Ovis aries: one gene and its partner. The protein of the gene in region 2 interacts with the protein of the main gene of each other region in a biochemical or structural test. Links are inferred from orthologs where the notes say so. Each region holds a gene or a part of one and is shown on either strand. Other genes may lie near its edges.

Region 1 (10,023 bases), on a different chromosome or scaffold from region 2:
TTGTACAGGGATCCGTATGGCATCCAGTGTGTGATGAGGGTCGGGTGAGGAGCAGGTGGAGACTGACAGGCACCAAGCACTGGGAGCACATTGGGATGTGAGAAAATCCTGGAAGAGGGAGAGAATGCCCCTGGCTGAGATCCAGCATAAAAGATCTCCCTCTGGGTGCTGACAGGGCTCCTTGAAATCAAGGCTTCCAGTTTAGGCCTTGCCCCACCTGAGCCGGGGACACTCCTCATTGAAGTCCCTGCTCTTCCTTGTACTCCAGTCTCGAACCTTTAGCATCTTCACGACAATGTCATTGCCCTGCCAGCGGCCCTTCCATAGCTGAGGGACAGATAAGGGTTAGAAGGCTTTAACTAAGGCCACTGTTTTCTTGCCCACTAACTGGAGGAGAGACTTAAAACAGGTGCACAACAGGTAATAGGGTGGGGTGGGGAGTTACCTCTCCAGAGTGATTCTCGTTGAGCTTCGCCAGGAAGTTGAGCTGTTTGAAGTCAATGCCGGAGTGTTTGTTCAGAGTCCCATTTCCTGAGAGTGTGGGCAGGTCAGGCACCCAGCTTCCCTCTTTCCCAGCCCCAGGAGTCCAGGACTATTCTCTCACCACCCCTCCCCTCACAGCTGACTCACGGGGCCGAGTGCGGGTAGTCCCCTTCCAGAATGTGTCCTTGTATGGAATACGGTTCAGATTCTGGCCCATCTTCTCTGCCCGCTCTGGGGAAGAAAGACAAAGTCTTGACCTCAGCTGTTGTGTGGAAAGAGACAGGCTAGGACAAGACGAGGACACAGCGGTGGGTGGGGACAGACCTCGGAGCAGCTCTCTCAGGGGTGCCTTGGCTTTGTCCACAGGCATCTCTCCATACTTGTTACAGATGCTGACAAGGGCCCCATTCGCCACAAGGTCCTGGAATTAAGAGATGGCTGTGATGAGGGCATTCCCAACTAAGCATGAGTGCAGATGCAGTACAAACCTTGTGAATGTTGCACACAGGACAGTACTCACAGGATGGGTTGAGGGTTCCAGAGTCTCCCACTCAAGCTCAAACTTCTTCCCACCCATCCCAGAGTTCAGGGCCTGAGTACTCACCTCTGCCACCTGATCTTGGCCCCAGAAACAGGCATAGTGCAGGGGCACATTCCCATGCTCATTCACCGCATTGATGTCAGCTTTGTACTGTAGCAGCTGGTGCCCATAGCCAAATAGAAAGAGGTAGAAGGTACAGTCAGTCCCAAATGAGAGAAGTGTACTAAGGCATGCAAGGAAGGAAGGAGATGAGTACACATACTTTGTACGTTATGTTATAATGCCTGTGTCTTACTTCCAGGCATGTGCATCAAGGGGTTCATACATACCTTCTGTACAATATCACGGTGCCCATGACTGGCTGCCAGGTGCAGAGGGGTATCATCCCCACGGTTCATCACATTGATTCGTGCCCCCCGCATGATCAGCATCTCAACCACAGCAGATCGGCCTTCTCGGCAGGCCCAGTGCAAGGGGGAGAAGCCATGATCATCCCTATGAGGAAGGCGCAAGGGTCATTGATTTGGAAGTGGGATGGGGGCAAAGGCTTTGACACAGGAAAAACTTTAATATTCTCTCTGCATACTCTTCCCTGGGAAGCCTTACCTCTAGAACTTTGATTCTCATTCATGCCAGCAACTCCCAAAGCTGTCCAGTCCAGACCTTCCCGAGTTTCAAACCCAACCAACCACTACCTGAAATCCCAACAATTCCATATGATTCACTGTTTTCATCTCCCTCTAGCCTTTCTTCCCAGGCACCTTCTATCATTAAATGGTAACATTCTTCATCTGGTTTCCTCTGCACCCCTTTGGCAACATCTGTTGGTTCTTTTCTGTTTTCACCATATCTTGTACACTGCCTTACTACATAGGTACTTGTCACACTGGATTGTAAAAATCTGTTAAATGGGCTGTCTTGTCTATTAGACTAAGCTTTTTGAGAATTGACAGCAGCTGTTCAGTGCATGTTAATAGGAAGGAAGGGAAGCTTTGAGAAGAAAAGCCACAGTTTATGGAAGAGGAAGCAAGTTTACTGATTGGTTTTGGTTCTGATACTGAAATTAGAATCTAAAAAGGGAATGGAATTAAAATGATGGTTTGGAGGGGTTTATAATGAAAAGGAGAAATGCTTTGGGTAAGTCATTCATGAGGCAGATACCGCCACATAAGACAGGATTCTTAAGCAATCCTAGGTACAGAAAACAAGAAAATGAGAATGACTTAATTAGAAAGCTGTACCTAACTTTTTTCTTTTCCCAAGAACTTCTCTATTTTATAAAGTTAAATGTATAAAAAACAACAACAACAAAACCACAATTGGGTGGAAACTAGGCCTGCCTGACAGCCTGGGGCCATAAAAGGAAATTCCCTCCAGTCCTGGGCTGCAGATCCAAGGGGCGGAGCTAAGGGGGCGGTCCGTGGTCTGGGCCGTCAGCCTCCGGATGCCTTAGTGCTGCGGTCACTTCCCGTGTGGGGGCTCTAGGCGGGGCCTGGAGCTGATCAGGGGTATGGTCACCCCAGGCAATCCAGATGTCCTCAAAGCCAAAATGGGTGGTGGGTGTGACCTTTAACTTACTGATTTCCCTCTACAGCTGCCCTCATCTGTTCACAAAGATAGCCAAAAGCTTTTCTGGGAGGTATTCCCTCCCTCTTCCTAAAGCAATCACCACCCCTTACTTATCAGTCAGTTTTGCATCCCAGTTCTTTAATTTGTGCCCCAGTTTATCAGCCTCTGGCGGTCTGTGGCCCCAGAGAAGGCCAGAGCCTGACAGCAAAAGTATGGGCACAAGGGTTCTGCCCACTGCCATGCTCCGGTCACCTCAGAGCCTGAACTTTAATCCCAAAGCGACCAGCAGGAAATTGACCCTTACTTAATATCCACCATATACCCAGTTGGGGCCCCGAAGCCCTTCCACTCATACCTGCACCACTTTCACTAATACCACTCTTTGATGCCAGCTTCATTGGAAAAAGTTACCTAACCTTTATGATGCCACCAACAAAATAGTAGCTGTGTTCTCTGTCTTTATCAGAGCACCGTTTGAAGAATTATATGAAAAATGGAACGAGTGTGAATTATAGAGAAATAGCGTAGAGTCTAATGGGGACCCATAAAGCCTGGATGAAAGTGACAGGTGATCCTTAACTCTCAAACCTAAAATCTATTTTCTCCTCACTTTAAAAAAATTCTACGATCCTGAATCAGCATCACTACTGCTTTTCTTGCCTTCCTGTCTCAGCCAACCTTAAAGAACTTGTCTACATTCACTTTCTCTACTTCACATTCAACCTGCCCAGGAGACCACTGCCTTGAGGACAAGCATTATGCCTGATTCTGGACTTCTAGCACCCAGTGCGTGTTCAGTATAGTTCCTTAAATGAAGGAACCAAGTATAGTCTGGTTTTTTTCACTTGTTTTCCTCTGAAACGGCTCTCACAGAGATCATTAAATACATAAATAATTGTAAATTCAATGGTTACACTTTAGTGCTCAAGTTCTTTGACCTCTTAGCAATCTAGAGTACCACTGACCACTCCTTTCATTGAAACATTCACTTCTTTAAGCCTACTCCAGTACTTTTGCCTGGAAAGTCCCATGGATGGAGGAGCCTGGTGGGCTGCAGTCCATAGGGTCGCTAAGAGTCGGACACGACTGAGCGACTTCACTTTCACTTTTCACTTTCATGCGTTGGAGAAGGAAATGGCAACCCACTCCAGTGTTCTTGCCTGGAGAATCCCAGGGACGGGGGAGCCTAGTGAGCTGGTGTCTGTGGGGTCGCACAGAGTCGGACACGACTGAAGCGACTTAGCAGCAGCAGCATATTTTCCTGTTTGGTCTTCTAGGTTTCTCATCCGGTTTCATATCCACCTCTTCAGGTGCCATCTACGTGCTGTGTGTGTCTGTGTGTGCATGCGTGTACATGCTTAGTCATGTCTGACTTTGCAACCCCATGGACCAGCCTTCCAGGCTCCTCTGTCCATGGGATTTCTCAGGCAAGAATACTGGAGTGGGTTGCCATTTCCTACTCCAGAGGATCTTCCAGACCCAGGGGTTGAACCCGCATCTCCTGCCAGCTCCTGCCCTGGCAAGTAGATTCTTTACTGCTGAGCCATCTGGGAAGCCCATCTTCATGCTGCTGCTGCTGCTGCTGCTAAGTCGCTTCAGTCATGTCCGACTCTGTGCGACCCCATAGACACCAGCTCACCAGGCTCCCCCGTCCCTGGGATTCTCCAGGCAAGAACACTGGAGTGGGTTGCCATTTCCTTCTCCAATGCATGAAAATGAAAAGTGAAAGTGAAGTCGCTCAGTCGTGTCCGACTCTTAGCGACCCCATGCACTGCAGCCTACCAGGCTCCTCCGTCCATGGGATTTTCCAAGCGAGAGTACTGGAGTGGGGTGCCATTGCCTTCTCCAGTCATGCTAATATCGCCCAAATCTTTGTCTCCAAGTCAGATCTCTCCTGAAATCCAGCAGCCCACTCCACATCCACTTTATTGTCACTTAAATGTGTGCAGAGTGGAACTCACCACCCTTCAGCCTTGTCCTTCTCAATAAAAGGAACCACTATCTACCCAAGCCAGAACCCTGATCATCATCTTTGACCTCACTTTCCACACCAAGTCTCACCAATTCTTTATCCAAAAGATCTCAGGAATTTGATCACTTTTTTCTTTTTTGCCTGTCCCAATTCTAGTCTAAGCCATCACCACTTGAGATGGACTAGGCAGTTAGTTGCCTCTCTTCACATCACCACTTGCTCTTCATAAAGCATCCAAGATGACACTTAACAAATGGACAATCTCATCGTACCATTACATGGCTCTAAACCCTTGCCCTTGCAATAAAAAATTATTATAGCCTAAATACTCTTGCATGATCTGACTGACCCTTGCAGACCTTTCCAGTCTTAACTTCTGTCATTCTGCACTTGTGCTTAGAGCTTTAGCCCACAGAAGCCCAGCGGTTTTCTCTCCTCTAGCCATATGGAGCTCCGGACAGTTTCTGGCACTCTCTGCTCCGTGTCTTGCCCCCTAGCTTTTGCCCATGAGGTTCACTGAAGTTAGAATACTCTGCAGATTCTGCCTGTAAATTCTTATTCAGTCAAGATTCAGCTCAAACAACAGCTTCCGGTGTGGAGACCCTCTGCCCCGCTGACAGGCTGTTTAATCCTCATCACACTGAATAGGAAAGTAAGCCGCCCGCACCAGAAGTGAGCACCCCACAGAGCGGAGAGGAGCATGTCTTTGCCCTTCCTCTCGCCCCCCAGCCACCCCAGCTCACCCCTGGTTGAGGTCGTTCTCCGTGTTGTCCAGCCACAGGCGGACCGCAACCGCGTTGCCCTCCCGGCACTGAGTGAAAATGTCGTCCATAGCAGCGTCCCGGCAGAGTCCCCTAGACTGGGAAAGTGTGGGAACTGTAGAAGGATCTTGGGGGGGGGGGGGGTGAGCCCCAGGCTTTGTCCCCTACAGGAGAGAAGTGTGGTGTTGGGCTGGGGGTCTGGGCTCTGCGTCCCCAGCTACTGGATGTCTGTAAGGAGTTAGGGAGGCAGCGGAATGGTCCTGGACTGTGTCCCTTGAGCGCGAGGGAAAGGCGGATCGGGCGAAGTAGGCGTTGATGAAGAGGTAGTGTCTTCCGAAGGGATGTCACGAGAGCAAGCACAGAGACCCTACCCGCGAACAGAGCTGGGGGGTGGGGGTGGGGAGTTTAGGCGCCGTATACCCTGGAGGAGGCGATCGGAGGTCCTTGCCGAGGATGGCCCTCGTTCCCGACTCGGAACCGAGTAGGTGGAGGGAGGGGTGACCGCCTGGTAAAGCTCGAGCCTTGGGGAGGGGGCACGGGTGCCCCCACACTCACCGGGACTCGGGCTAGAGGAGCCTTCTCCGGGGAACTCCCGTCCGGCCGCGCCCGCCGCCCGGCCCCGCCCCTGGCCCTCTCAGGCCAGCGCGGGCCTCCTTCTCCCGGCCCCTCCCTCCCGCCTTCCTTGCCCTTCTAGCCCACCAGTGTCTAAACTCGATGGTTTTCGGCACTGCGCCGGCTGCTCTAGCCACTTCAGCTCTCACTCTTTGGTTTCCTGCCCTGTTCCGGCGTCTCTGAGCGGTCTGATTCTTAGAGACGTGGTCTGCACGTGGAGAAGCGGGTGGATCCCGCAACCTTGCGCTCCCCAGCCCCATGTTCGAGGAGCCGGAGTGGGCCGAGGAGGCCCCTGTAGTCGCGGACCTCGGGTCTGTAGCCTTAGGGCTTCGGCCCACGGCAACCTCTCAAATCAAGGTGAGTGGCCCTGCAGGAGTACTCAGAACAGACTGCTGGATTCCGGAGCTGGGGCGCGCCGCGTGTGTAATTAGGGGGAGGGGGGCCGCTTGCAGCCTCCCCAGATCCGGAACTTCCAAAAGAAAGTGACGTTGGAACTGAGAGAGAATTGGTGAGTAGAAGTTAGTGAAGCAAAGAGGGTTTCTTGGAAGGAAAGGCATGTGGAGAGACCCGGGTCAAGGGAGCATGACACAGAATGAGAGGCAGTGTGGTAGAAATTGGAGGGCTACGTTAGAATATTTGCACGTTAAAGATAGAAGCCAATGGAGTGTTTTAGCAGGGGGATGATTTCTTCAGATTTGCGTTTTGAAAATGTCACTGGTTGCCGTGTGGAGATTGAAAAGAGCAAAACTGAATGGCAACGAGGGCTGTCAGTGCCGCTGTTCAAAGGGAGCTGGAGCTGAGGGAGTACTGAGAGTCTCCAGGATGAGGGATCCGTCCAGTGGGACTTAGTCCAGAACGGCCTCCCAGACAGTAGTCCTCCTTTAAGCCTCTGCCGATGTGAGGGCTGCTGCACTTGCTCAGGCTCTTTCTGTCCTTCAGTCAGCCTGTGACATGAAATCTGCCTGCTTTATTCTCTCCTCTTCAACCCCTCGACCCACTGCTGTAATCCCCGCCACTGGCCTCTGTCTGCAGCTTGTCTCTTTCAGTGTTTTTTTTTTTTTTCTTTCGGTTCTTTACACTGCAACTGGAGGCATCTTTAATACACACATGTGTGATCATGTCACTCTTATTTTCAAAAATCTTCCTACTTTTTATAAAAAGGTATTAGCTAGAGGTAGAAACCTGAGATTGAGAGTTGGAACTCCCGGTCACTAGCCTCGGTCCTGTAGCTCGTGGCCTTACAGTGTTTCTCTGGGAACCCCATCACCTCATCTATCCAATGAAGAAAGTGAGGTGGGTGGTTTCTCTGCTCTCCAGCCTCCCAAAGGTTGGGATGGCAGTTTTGAAAGTTCTTCAGGCCCTGACAGTCTTCGTGTTAGGCTAGGTAAGTTGATTGAGAATAATCCAGATGCCTCGTTACAGCATCTGAGTGAGGTCCCCATCTCTCTTCTTACTCCCTAGGCCCCATCCATTCTCCTCACCCCTGCATTCATCCCTTGTTTTCCCCCAGGGCGCCAACCGCCGCCAGCTCTTGGCCACATTACGGGCCCTGGAGGTAGCATCTGTTCCCCAGCAGCCCCCTAGCCTGCCTGGCAGTGACTCTGAGGAGGAGGAGGAGGTAGTGGGAACAAAGAAGAAACGCACGAAAAAGGGCTTGTTTGCTGGTGCGTCTAGTGAAGTAGAGGAGAAAAGGAAGAAGAAACGTCACAAACAGGGCCCACCTAGCAGTGACTCCAAGGAAGAGGAAGTGGAAAGGAAGAAGTGCCACAAAGGGGTTCTTCTTGGCAGTGACCTGGCAGAAGAAGAGAAAAAAAAGAGGAAATGCCAGAAACAGATCCCTTCAAATCTTGCCCAGCCCCTGGACAGTGTTGACCAAACAGGTAGTATTTGTGGGATGATGAGGGCTGGGGGTGTGGGATTCAGCTGACCCTACCTATAACAGAGTTCCTCTGCCACCAGTAGGTGTGGAGTTAGGGAATAAGAAGTACTTTCCCATAGACCACAGTTTCTGTCTTAGGGACAGGGGTATGGCCAGGGTGACATGCTAAGTCTCTGAATTCAGGGTATCTTGCTCCCCAGTATGCCTTTCTATCTCTCTTTCTTCAGATTCTAAAGCTTGGAATTCTAGTGCTACAAGTGATCTCACCAAGCCAACCTGTGAGACCCCTTCCTCTAATCCTCCCCATACGTTGAGTCGCAAGCAATGGCGGAACCGGCAGAAGAACAAGCGTAGACAGAAGAACAAGTTTCGGCCATCTCAGCCACCAGAGCAGGCCCCAGCCCCAGCCTCTGCAGAGGAGGCAGAGGTGCCTTCTGCCCCCAGTCCAGACAGCCATGGAGCCCGGGCAGAGGCTCTTCGAGCCCGCATGGCCCAGCGTCTGGATGGTGCCCGGTTCCGCTACCTCAATGAACAGCTGTACTCAGGGCCCAGCAGTGCTGCGCAGCGCCTCTTCCAGGAAGACCCTGAGGCCTTTCTCCTCTACCACCGTGGCTTCCAGAACCAAGTCAAGAAGTGGCCACTGCAGCCGGTAGACCGCATCGCCAGGGATCTTCGCCAGCGGTTAGTGAAAATCGGGCGCTGTGAAAAGCTAGGCGTGTCAGTCCCAGGCTCAGACCAGACCAGTGAGCTCTTCCTCCCTTCCATTCCCAGGCCTGCGTCCCTAGTGGTAGCTGACTTTGGCTGTGGGGACTGCCGCCTGGCTTCAAGTATCCGGAACCGTGTACACTGCTTTGACTTGGCCTCTCTGGACCCCCGGGTCACTGTGTGTGACATGGCCCAGGTAAGCCCCTCTCTCCTTCCATGAAATGCGCTCTGCCCACCCTGCATCCTTGTGTCTACTCCTAGCGTTCAGTGCTGGCTTTCTCCTTCCTATAATGTGTGCTTAGTACAACCTTCTCACTCTCCACAGGTGCCTCTGGAGGATGAATCTATAGATGTGGCTGTGTTCTGCCTTTCACTGATGGGAACCAACATCAGAGACTTCCTGGAGGAGGCAAATCGAGTGCTGAAGCCAGGGTAGGTGTTCCCAGGACACAGCTGCATGACTGTGTGCACATGCGCGTGTCGGTGTACTTACCCAGAACTTTCCGTCCTTCTCAGGGGTCTCCTGAAAGTGGCTGAGGTCAGCAGCCGCTTTGAAGATGTTCGGACTTTTCTGGGGGCTGTCACCAAACTGGGCTTCAAGGTCATCTCCAAGGTGAGGGCCCCAGGAAGTCTGTCCTATTTTTGTCATATAGGTGGCCCTTCAGGCTAATAATGGTGTTCAGGAAGGAGGTCATTGTCAGACAGAGATGTTTGCTCCTTGAAGGCTTGAGTAGTGGGAGAGAGCTGGGAAGCTTTCTGAGCAGGGGTGGGGCCTGGACAGAGGTGATTTGAAGAGCTGGGGTGAGGACTTAGAGCTCACTGGGTCTTTTCTGTCCCTAGGATCTGACCAACAGCCACTTCTTCTTGTTTGACTTTGAAAAGACCGGGCCCCCTCGGGTAGGGCCCAAGACTCAGCTCTCAGGCCTGAAGCTTCAGCCTTGTCTCTACAAGCGCAGGTGACCTTTGGAGCCCCCCTTGAACGGGGCGGCAAATCTTAAACTCCAGACTCAGTACTCTGAAGACTGTATCCAGCCAGACTGTGACCCAGGGCCTGGTACCACCCTTACTCCATCTCAAGAACAAAATGTAATGAAACTCGGCTCAACCCTGCTGTGATGAAGGCTTCTTGGTTCTAGAAAGCATAAAGTCGTTAGGGCTAGCTAAAGAGTAAGGAGTTCACTGTGAGAACACAGGAGTATGTGGGAATTACGGATCCCCTCAGTGTCATGGAAACTACATGGTTTGGAATTCAAGGCATCTCTGGGTTTGGTGTCTGTTTCCATCTCTCAAGAGCCATATAAGCTTTCTGTCCTAGCAGCTCCACTCTCTGTTCTGATTTTCCTGTCTGCACACCAGATCCCTCTGCTCACTCAAAGCTTTTACAGCTTTGGTCTGCCCGGGCCTTTAAGGCCACAGATCCTTAAGGCCCAAAGCCTTCTTGGCTCTAGAGCAGCTTGGCTCTAGAGTAAGTGCAGCAGCCCTCGCATCAGCAGAGGCACCT
Region 2 (9,923 bases):
TATGATCTACATCCTTCTGGATGTAGATCAAATCACCACAGTGTACACTGTAAATACCTTACAGTTTTGCAAATTATCCCTCTGTAATGCCTGGGGAAAAACAAGTCCATGTCTTTAAGTCCTTGACTTTCGAAGTTCGACGTTGCATAAAAAATTATTTGTACCAAGTGAAGATTAGTGACCAACTGCATCAGGGGCTTCCAGCTGGTCTTTAAACTGCTGTTGTAAGAGAACGAGTTGCAAGAGAGCTTAGTCTCTTGTCCCCTGTGCCTTCGTGTCTACCTGAAAATGAGTTACTGAGCAGAAACCAGAAGCTGTGTCTAGAGGCCCTGTGGTGTTTTTTTCGTTGACTGCTGTCATCTCTGTAGGGACCACCATCAATAGGGCTCCCCAGGATTCATGAAGTACCACTGGATAGGGAGATGGAAATCAGGGTTCCACTTCTAGCTCTGCCTTGCCATTTGTCAGTTATAGCCATGTGACTTCAAACAGGTTACTTGGCTTCACTGAGCTTCATCTACAAAATGAGGAGGGAGAGTTGCATGAATCTTTTAAAAAGGGCTCTCCTGGTGGCTCAGATGGTGAAGAATCTGCTTGCAATCCACGAGACCTAGGTTCTATCCCTGGGTCAGGAAGATCCCCTGGTGGAGGTCATGGCAACCCACTCCAGTTTTCTTGCCTGGAGAATTCCACGGACAGATGAGCCTGGAAGGCTATAGTCTGTGGGGCTGCAAAGAGTTGGACATGACCAAGTGACTGACACTTTTAGAAGAGATAATGTATGTGAAAGCACTTAGCATGCCTCTCAGTGCAGAGAGTATCCAAAAAGTGTTTCCTCCATATTCAACTGAGGCTGAAAAGTTCCAAGTTGTAACAACCATCACTATATTCAATAAACAAATATATGTTAATAGATCCTAGGTAGAAACCACAACGCTCAGATCCAGTCCTCAAAAAAGTAATAACTCAAGTAATAATTTATTAGGGGCAATAGGATATACTCAATCCTAATAAGGATGACTGCTCTTAAGTTCCAAAAAGGACCAAATTCAGTGGCAGTTCTAAGGAGTAAGAGAAAATGTTTGGCTACAAGGAAAGTTGGAAGTACTAGTGGATGAAAGAACATTTGACCTCTTTCTAAAATTTCTAAAATGCTAGAAAGCTCAGATGTGAACAGGTGGCGACTAGAAGGTTTGGGCAATGAATGGAGATGGGTGAGGGCAGTGTGTCTGCAGTCGCCCAGTTTGAGCTGGGGAACAGGCCACAGAAGACCTCTGAACGTTTGACTGGGGACCATTAGATTTTATGCTGTGAGCAACCAGGAGTTACTAGAAGAGCTGAAATACAGCCTGGTGCTGTGTTGGGGCTAAACTAATCTCAAAATCCCTGGGAGGGCAGAAGGGCCACCAGAGGCTGAACAATCAGCACAGAGGCTATTCTCCCTTGTGGGGAGGCCGTGGGACCAGCAAGGACGCAGGTGTGTGCCATAGACTAAATATATTTGGGGCTTTTAGCAAGTGACAGTATAAGTTGATGACCTGTACTTAAGAGGAGGAACAGGAACATATTTTTACTTTTTTTTTTTTTTTTAATGGGAAGGAGCTCTTAAATTTTTGAGCAAGGCTTGTTACGACCTGGCCTTAGAGTACAAAGAAAAGCCATGGAGAATGTGACATAGGCCAAAGATCTGCATTCAGGGGACAGTGAGAGCAGAGATGGAAGAAAGGCACTGGGCTGCACGAGCGAGTATCACCAGGGCTTGGCCTTATTAATTGCAAGGGGTGAAGGAGAAAGTCCAGAACTGAAGTTTTGAGTCTGAGTGATGATGCAATAGCAGTAACAATACAGAGTAAATTCATTTAAAAAATGTGTTTTCTTAAACTGAGTCATTTTGCTGTTTAAAATCAGTTCTGCTCAAGCCAGCAGCGTCAGTTCATCTGTCATATTTCTATTTATAGCTACATTTCTAACATAAATATTTTACAGTTTATCCTCAAGTAGCAGGAAAAATGAGGGGTTTCACCTGAAGTGGAAGACTTCACCTTCAAGGTTAAGTACGCCTGTCTGGTGACACTGCAGAATACTAAGCACACTGTTCTCACAAGCTGCAGGTACAGCGTTTACAAAAGCGAAAGTTCATGTCTACACAGCTCATGTCATGTGAACAGAAAAAACAAGAAGTACAAAAGAAACATTAAATAAAAGATTTTGCTTTTATTTAAAATAAAATGTATTTATACAGTCTTTAAACCATGGATTATTGAACAATACTGGTAATCTACCCCTCCCTGGCACCCTTTTGGGCTATGTGAGCTAGGAATTTTCTGACTAGCACCAATGCAGGTTGTAACAGCGCAACAGACTAGAACACGGCCAGTCCAGGCATTAGAGTTAAGGACATTGTGGCAAATCATGACTATAATGAAGTCATCCTTAATTTAGCAGATATTAAAACTGCACATTAATTATATTTTAAAGAGCATTTAATTAATGCAAAGATGCTACATCTAAGCCATTTGCTAGTTGTGAGTAGATTTTTAAAAAACTGTACAATTTTATAAAATTTGTGTTTGTACATTAGTTACACAAAATGCATACTTCATAGACCTTTACTTCATATTGTAATGCAAAAGTTGCATATTTTAGGAGACAGTGAATATGCTGGTGAATACTAAAAGTGTTGTAATACAATATGGTGTAAAAATAAAAACACAAGACAATATACATACATGCTTATTCAAGGACAAAAACCAGGCATAACGACTAATAGCATTTTCCTTCAAGATCAAACAATGACATTATTAAATACCAGGCACCTTTTGTAGGCCTAATTTATTTTGGGGTTGGGGGGGGGGAAACGGATGACAGATGGCTACCAAAAGTATGATATTTGAAAAATTATGAGGTCAAATTAAACATATATTAAAACACATGCATTAAACATGATAAATAGACTTCATATAGTTTAAGCCCTGGATAGCTTTAAAGTAGATGGCTTGAGTTTCTTACAGTTTGGCTAGCTTGAATCAGTGATGTTTTGTTCCTAACTTACCCACTACTTCAGTTTCAATTCCTGGCTCTAAGGAACATGTGCCATATTCAAGTCCATACATTGTATCATGATAGCAGATTAATAGTCGTGCTTGTTAGTGCACATATTAACTGGTCTGGTAAGGCAAAAAAGTTTTCATGATAAAATAATGAATTTCAAGCTTACTTTATTAAGCAGCATATAACAAACAACAGCTTTTAAAGTTAAATAACTGTTATGGCCATGGAGTTTCATTACACAGCATTTCTGTTCACACCCAACCACTGGTAAGTTTGTAGAACATCTCTTCATCTAAACTCTCATTTTGGTCTTTTGCACGTGTTGAGAGAAATATGTAGCCACCAATGAATTCATGAACCACTTTGCAATCTACTTCAGTGCAAATGAAGGACAACCGTACTTCATCTGCAAACTCTACAGTGACCTAGAACAAAGACAGAGAACCATCAGTCCCTGCAGAAGTCCAGACGGCTGGGTCCAAGTGAGGCCACTATACTTAAGGTCTGTCCTGATCATAAAATACTTGCTGGTCCTCAAAAAAAATTTTTTTAATCCTAAACTAATAATGCCTTCAAGTCCAAAAGCATAAGTAGAAGTTTATAGCCCTTCCTCTCCTTTTTTCTTGTTCTGAAAAGGAAGGCTGAATGCAAGAGGCTTAGGTCATTAAGTTCCCAAAAGGTCTCTGGTGATTCAATTAATGAGTGTCTCCCTTCAAGTCCTGGGAGAAAACCTATTTCCTGTGTTTAGCTATTTAACCTTTAGGTTTCATGTTTGAATATTTCAGAAATACAAGATTCTATGAAGTAATTGAAATCAGTACAAATCCAATGACCCTAAAACAAAGGACTTATTAGGGAAATATTCTGTTTAAGTGAGAGTCATATACTCCAAGGCGAGGGGTAGCATGGTGTGCCAGGCTTTAGAGCCCGAAGTATCCCAGTTTAAATCCTAATTCTCAGTGTGCAGTCATGGACAACAATGGCCTTCATTTGTACAGTGGGGATAATCCATCTACCTTGCAGGGCTGGGGTAATGTTTAGAAATAGGGTACAGATGTAAAACATCTACTATCATGCTTGGCACAAAGCAGGCATTCACTAAAGAGCAGCTGCTATTTGTGAGTGGAAAGGGAATAAATTCATTACAGAAAGACAACCTGAAAGATTAGCCAATATTGTAACATATTACGCTCTTACAAGTATCTGGGCTACTTATAAAATAGGCAAGTAGGAAATGAACAACCAAGCATGTTTTATACTTTAAGAGGAAATGGCACAAAGAATCTTAAACATTTATAGGGCCTTTTCTTCTTAATTAATTCATTTTTAGCAGATCGACTATGTGTATGTGTTCAAGCAGGATGGTTACAGCTTACCATTTTTATTTCCCAGTTTACATTCCACTGTTTCATGTTACTGAAACGCCAGGTTTTAATTGCATCTCCCGTGCTGGCGTCCATCCTAATCAGTCTATTGTATGCAATTCCGATAAGTTCTTCTTTTTTGCCCCCTTGGAACCTACAGAATTAAAAACATAAATACATGTTTTAAAACAGAGGTGGTAGGGGGACATGTTGGTCTGTTTTTCTTGAAGATATGTACTTTTTAACTCTTAAAGTGCTATTCTTGCCTGAGTAAAAAGAGAAATGAAATCACTTTAAATTTTTGGTGAAAAAATTATAAGCAGAGAAAATACATTCCAACATTCTTTAAATTTTACTGTGTAATAGGTTAATGGGTTTCAGTAGGTAGCTTTAAATGTTTAATTTCTAATTACATGAAGTCAATTAAGTAAGAAGGCACAGACTGAGGTTTACACATCGGAGCTGAGTAGAACCACTGACCTTGCAATAAAGTGTGTGATGCCAAATTCTGGTAATGATTGCCAAGCTTGAATAAACCTCATCTTGGCTTCAATTAAACTCATCTGAGCTACATTCTGATGGGCCTCCAAGATTCTTGCCGTTATCTAAACATGAGTAAACATCATATTTACTATTAGATATTATTCTTTCATGGTAGAATCAAGACAAAAAAAGATTAAAACACTGAATTATGTGCCCCATGCCCCAAAATTACGTATTGGGAGAGACGAAATCAGAAAATATCTGAAAATACATTTGGGAATTTTAGTAAACTAATGACTTTCCAAACTAAACTTCAATATATAGTTTTTCTTAATTTTAGTTCCGTATGTCAAGAAAGAATAAGTACTAGTAGGTATATATAATTGTTGAGACTTTTTCAAGTACACACACATATGATAACACAAGTTCTAATCCTCATATACTGATGGGTTTTAAGTTCAGTACCAAGATATCTGATCAGAATGAGTGCCTGCCATACAGGTTTCTAGCACTAGAAATCACTGCAATGATTTTAAAATTTTTCTAAAGGAGTAATTAGAAAGGTTAGTTTTTAAGTTTACTCACTTTGGGATGCCTATCTGCTCAAGAGTAGAGGGAAATTAATTCATGAGGGGAGACTGTAGCTAGGGCTTACATATTTTTAATTCTTTCTTTTTTTTAAATATGGAGAACTTACCAAATCTCTTATATAGCCTGGCTGGAGATGGCAATGCGAGGAAAAGAAAAAGGAAGCAGAAAGAAAAAAAAGGCAATCAGAAAAAATGGCAATGAAGCAAAGAAAAAGTTGCGGTAACCTGCAAACCAAAATTCCAGCCAAAAACCATGCAAAAAAATGACTTCAGGTGGAAACCAAGCAAAGTAAATGCAAGCATGAAAATGAAAATGAGAAAGCAGCGATTCTTTCCATTTAGAATACTGAGAAACACTCCACATTATTTTAGATTGTTAAGTGTTACTAAAATTAAGGGTAGAAATTTGTAGGGAGAAAATTTAAAATGCAAATAATCTTTTCCCCTTCATGTACCAGGTCTTACTGATTAGGGTAAAGCTAATTATTTTAGTAGCAAGATAAAAAAGAAAATTAATACTCAAAAGCCTTTAATCTTGTCTTATATTGAGTCAGATAATATGATCCATGCACAGCTTTTCAGAAAATAGTTGAAGGCATTAAATAAGTGCAGTGACCATACTGTTTCTTTATTTACAAAAGAAAAGCAAACCCCTCAATTACCATCTTTTTTTTGCATCCTTTTTCCTGGAAGGGAAAATAAAAATATGCCATACACTACACTAGGAGTGGTGGCTACAAATATATCAGTTCATTTCAATTTGGATTAACATGAATAAAATGAAGAATAATTCTTTCCTCTAACATGTAAAAATCCAGTTTGGGAGTCATAGTTATGAAAAAAATATCCATAGCAACTTTAATAGACAGTCTTGGGGAATTAAAATAGATTGTAACAAAGGCTATATGCGCCTGAAGACTTTATGCCCTGGTAGGGCTGAATGACCCCATAGCCTGCACAGCTTAGACCTACCTGACTCCTAAATGCCACTGGATTATACAGTTTAACAAATCCAATTACTGAGCCACTAAGTCCAACAAACAGTACAGTACATGACACACAACAGCAACTAAACTCCTGCTTATCAGCTCTTAACTAGGTGTCAGGGCAATACTTGACTCAACCTCCTGCTTAGGGAAAGGAGAATTCAAAATAAATGTGCATTTGATAAGAGGACAATGTGGAAGACAAGGCTAGAAAGCTCCTTAACCTCAGACCACATACATACTACCGTCCGGTCAGTTAAGGACAGCCACACATTCTTTGTCTTGAAGAGAATCTTCAGTTGACTTGTAGTCAAGAACTCACCAAAAGAAGATTTATCTTTTCACAGCTAAACCTATCATTGGGAAAACAATTCAGTACCTGCCTGACAGCTAAACTAACATTTGGCAATCTTTACAATTATAGTTTAAGATCTTTTATTCCTGATACCTGATAGTGAAATGGTAAACTGCTTAGATTTGAAACTATTCATTGACTTTGAAGGCAAATGAATCCACTTTTAGAAACAAGTCTCTTTATAAATAACTTTAAAATGAACTAACCTAAGAATTAAAAAATGAAATTAGTACTCGATTCACTTTCCCTTGTTAACTTACAATCTACATTCCACACAGCTCCAAGGGCATTTCCTCCATTCCTCACTACTCCCACATCATATGACTACGGGATAAACAATTTCCATGTAGCTTACACAACTTCTGCAACTTAAAAGACAAATACTTGGTGATTAAAACTTTTGAACATTTCCAGCTAAGGGATTTCAGACCCATATGATAAACACTATTTAAAGTTAAGAATTAACAAGTGTTCTGGGTATATCATTGGGCCTTTCCAGTAATGTTTTAAAATTACTCCTTAACAAAGATAAAAATGAAGTATTTATTTCAAAGTTCTTCTTCACCCCCTTCCTAAATTGGAGCCTTTTTCCTTTTATGGCATGATGCTGGGTATCGAGAATACTGGGGGCTATCCCAAGTGAAACTCCCCTGGCAAAGAACCTTTTGTGTTGGACCGAAGAACCATTTTCCTAAATAGCAATCCTTTTATGGTAGTCATTTCCAGGAAAGGAATTCTAAACAGAGGGAACAAAAGCAGTGAATTTCAATGAAAATTTACCAAATGTTGTCACAGTATGCAAATCTGGCTTAGGTTTTGACTGTTAATGTTAAGAAAAGACAATGTTAAACATGGACTATAAACCACGTAAAGTTTATTTCCAAAGCTGGAAAGGTCCATTTTGACAGCAAAAAGAGTCTTCAGAGATTTGGCTGGGAAATGCTGGCTGTGCTCTGTATCAGACTTACTTTACTTAAGGAATAAAATGGCATGAACTGTGGAACACAAAGCAGTAAGACCATATTCAATTCCCTGAAAAGAATATCCTGTTAGCATAGTGATTTCCTCGGGTGGTTTAGAATAAATATGCTCCCAACTACTCCACCTTATTATCCTTCCTATTAAAAAAAGGACTTTTCTTAAATGACCAATTTAAACTGACTGAAAGCTATTTTTTCCTTATATTTTAACCACCTGATACAAAATTAAGACTACCAATTAAGACTAAAAAGTAGTGTTTAAGAGGGGAAACTAAAGTATATGTAGAAAACTGTTTACCTGCTTGTTCTTGTACTTTTTTAGATAGCGAGGGGATACCAGACATTCAGGATTTATATCAGTTGTGATCTGCTCTGGTACTAACTGAGGATCTGGATTTAAATGCTGCATCTTCAGAAAGGAAAGAATATTTTGAACTTCTAAGTTGTAAGAACTGTCTGCCATGGTCTTGCCTTTGGAGGCCAATCTGCAGGCTGCCATCCAGTGTGCATACTGTTTTTCCTGTGAAAAGAAATACTGAGGTTTGGAATCTATCACATGATAAATCCTTGAGTATAAAACATAAGAATGAATGGTCAACTCACTAAGGAAGCAAAGAAAACCTAGGTTTACTTTTTTTTTTTTTTTGGCTGCACTGTTCATGTGGAATCTTAGTTCCCTGACCAGGGGATTGAACCCATGACCCTCGTATTGGGAGCGCAGAGTCTTAACCACTGGACCCACCAGGGACATCCCCCAAATTGAGGTTTATTTTTAATCAGAAAACTTACATTGTCACAACGAAGCCAGATTTCATTCATGCCCTCTGCAACCGGAATGAGGAGTTTAATGTTAAATTTTTGGCCTGAAATATTCACATCTGGGGTAACTTCACACCCTGTAGTTTAAAAAAAAAATTAAAATGGTTAAATTTAGACTTAAGAAATCCCAAGCCAATACAGGCAGTTCCCATTTTATGGTATCTTAACATGCTGATTTTGCTGTCATGGAATCTACAAATCAGGGAATTCTTTACATTCAGTTGGGGGTGGAGCGGAGAAGACTCAACTCAGACCTAATATACAAGAGATGTAACTGCATAGTTTGTGGCCCTCACATTTCTCAAAACTTGATTGAGAAGAGAAGGAAAGAGTTCTATTAAAAGGATATTATACAAAGAAAACTTGCACTCTATTCCCACAAATTTCACACATTATTATTTTAATATCATTCAGTTCTTTGAATCTTAAGTTATCAGGGTTTTTTTTTTTTTTGCTAAGTTTTTAAATGTACAGAAACTTTTGCTAAGTGTCTAAATATCTTTCCATAATAAAATTCTAAAGTGTGTTCTGGTCAGAATAAATGGCTATGATGCCTTTTAAGAAAGGCACATGTGTGGGGAACCAGCCAGTGTGAGCTAGAGTCCTGTATGAGGGCCTCCTCAGGATCCCACTGCTCGCGCACTCAGCTGCTCTACCCTCCTATTGCTGGTGCAAGGAAGACTAATGGCACAGGCTGCGGGAGGCAGGGAGCATAGGCTCTCCTGATTTGCAGAAAATTTTAGAAGTCCATTGACACAGAAGGTAATATAAACTTATATACTTGGGAAGTCAGTATGAAAATAAGGGCATGCAGAATTTCACTTTACTGGCAAGTTTTCAGGAATACGTACATTTATGGACTGTACAAAATCCCTGTAATCAACTCTGTTAACCATTAGTTTATGGCTTTATAGGAGAGAAAGCAGATTTACTCAATGTATACCCAGATAGATAATGGGGCAATGGTCAGCCTAAATTAGCAACCAGTATAAAATAGTGAAGAAGAGCTCTGCAAGCAGACAGATTGGGGTTCCAGACCTTTCTTGACCACTTAATAAGCATATCATATTTACTTATGCCCAAACTCCCTGACTTTAAGCTCTATCTCACAGTGATGCTATAAGGATCAGTAAGATAATGATTATGTCAAAGCTTCCTAAAGAGTATTCCAATTGTTAGTACTTAGTTCACGTCACCCTCAGTGCGTGTTGAGACCATTGTGCAGACTCTGTGGGGAAGAATGTAAACTTGTTAGCAGGGCCTGCTGTTGCCTTTGTCCCTGAACTGAAGCAACT

The links.
Region 1: the proteins of FERMT2 (region 2) and ILK form a complex in vitro, tested with the Homo sapiens proteins (2 studies listed by BioGRID). The link is inferred for Ovis aries from reciprocal best matches to the Homo sapiens genes FERMT2 and ILK.

What each region holds. Positions count from the first base shown.
Region 1 is NC_056068.1:46,199,584-46,209,606, forward strand, and holds the start of ILK (integrin-linked protein kinase), read right to left. Parts: upstream 5,935-10,023; 5' UTR 5,747-5,934; intron 5,425-5,746; exon of another isoform or gene 5,420-5,424; 5' UTR 5,398-5,419; coding exon 5,309-5,397; intron 3,501-5,308; exon of another isoform or gene 1,520-3,500; coding exon 1,354-1,519; exon of another isoform or gene 1,326-1,353; intron 1,184-1,325; coding exon 1,088-1,183; intron 905-1,087; coding exon 808-904; intron 715-807; coding exon 631-714; intron 532-630; coding exon 446-531; intron 328-445; coding exon 218-327; intron 109-217; coding exon 1-108. Other genes in the region: RRP8 (ribosomal RNA-processing protein 8), read left to right, coding at 6,197-6,295, 7,449-7,818, 8,045-8,498, 8,589-8,718, 8,848-8,954, 9,039-9,135, 9,363-9,482. UniProt on the Homo sapiens protein: Scaffold protein which mediates protein-protein interactions during a range of cellular events including focal adhesion assembly, cell adhesion and cell migration.
Region 2 is NC_056060.1:63,642,566-63,652,488, forward strand, and holds the end of FERMT2 (fermitin family homolog 2), read right to left. Parts: intron 8,706-9,923; coding exon 8,599-8,705; intron 8,330-8,598; coding exon 8,108-8,329; intron 6,175-8,107; coding exon 6,151-6,174; intron 5,617-6,150; coding exon 5,596-5,616; intron 5,021-5,595; coding exon 4,896-5,020; intron 4,570-4,895; coding exon 4,428-4,569; intron 3,477-4,427; coding exon 3,303-3,476; 3' UTR 2,195-3,302; downstream 1-2,194. UniProt on the Homo sapiens protein: Scaffolding protein that enhances integrin activation mediated by TLN1 and/or TLN2, but activates integrins only weakly by itself. Binds to membranes enriched in phosphoinositides.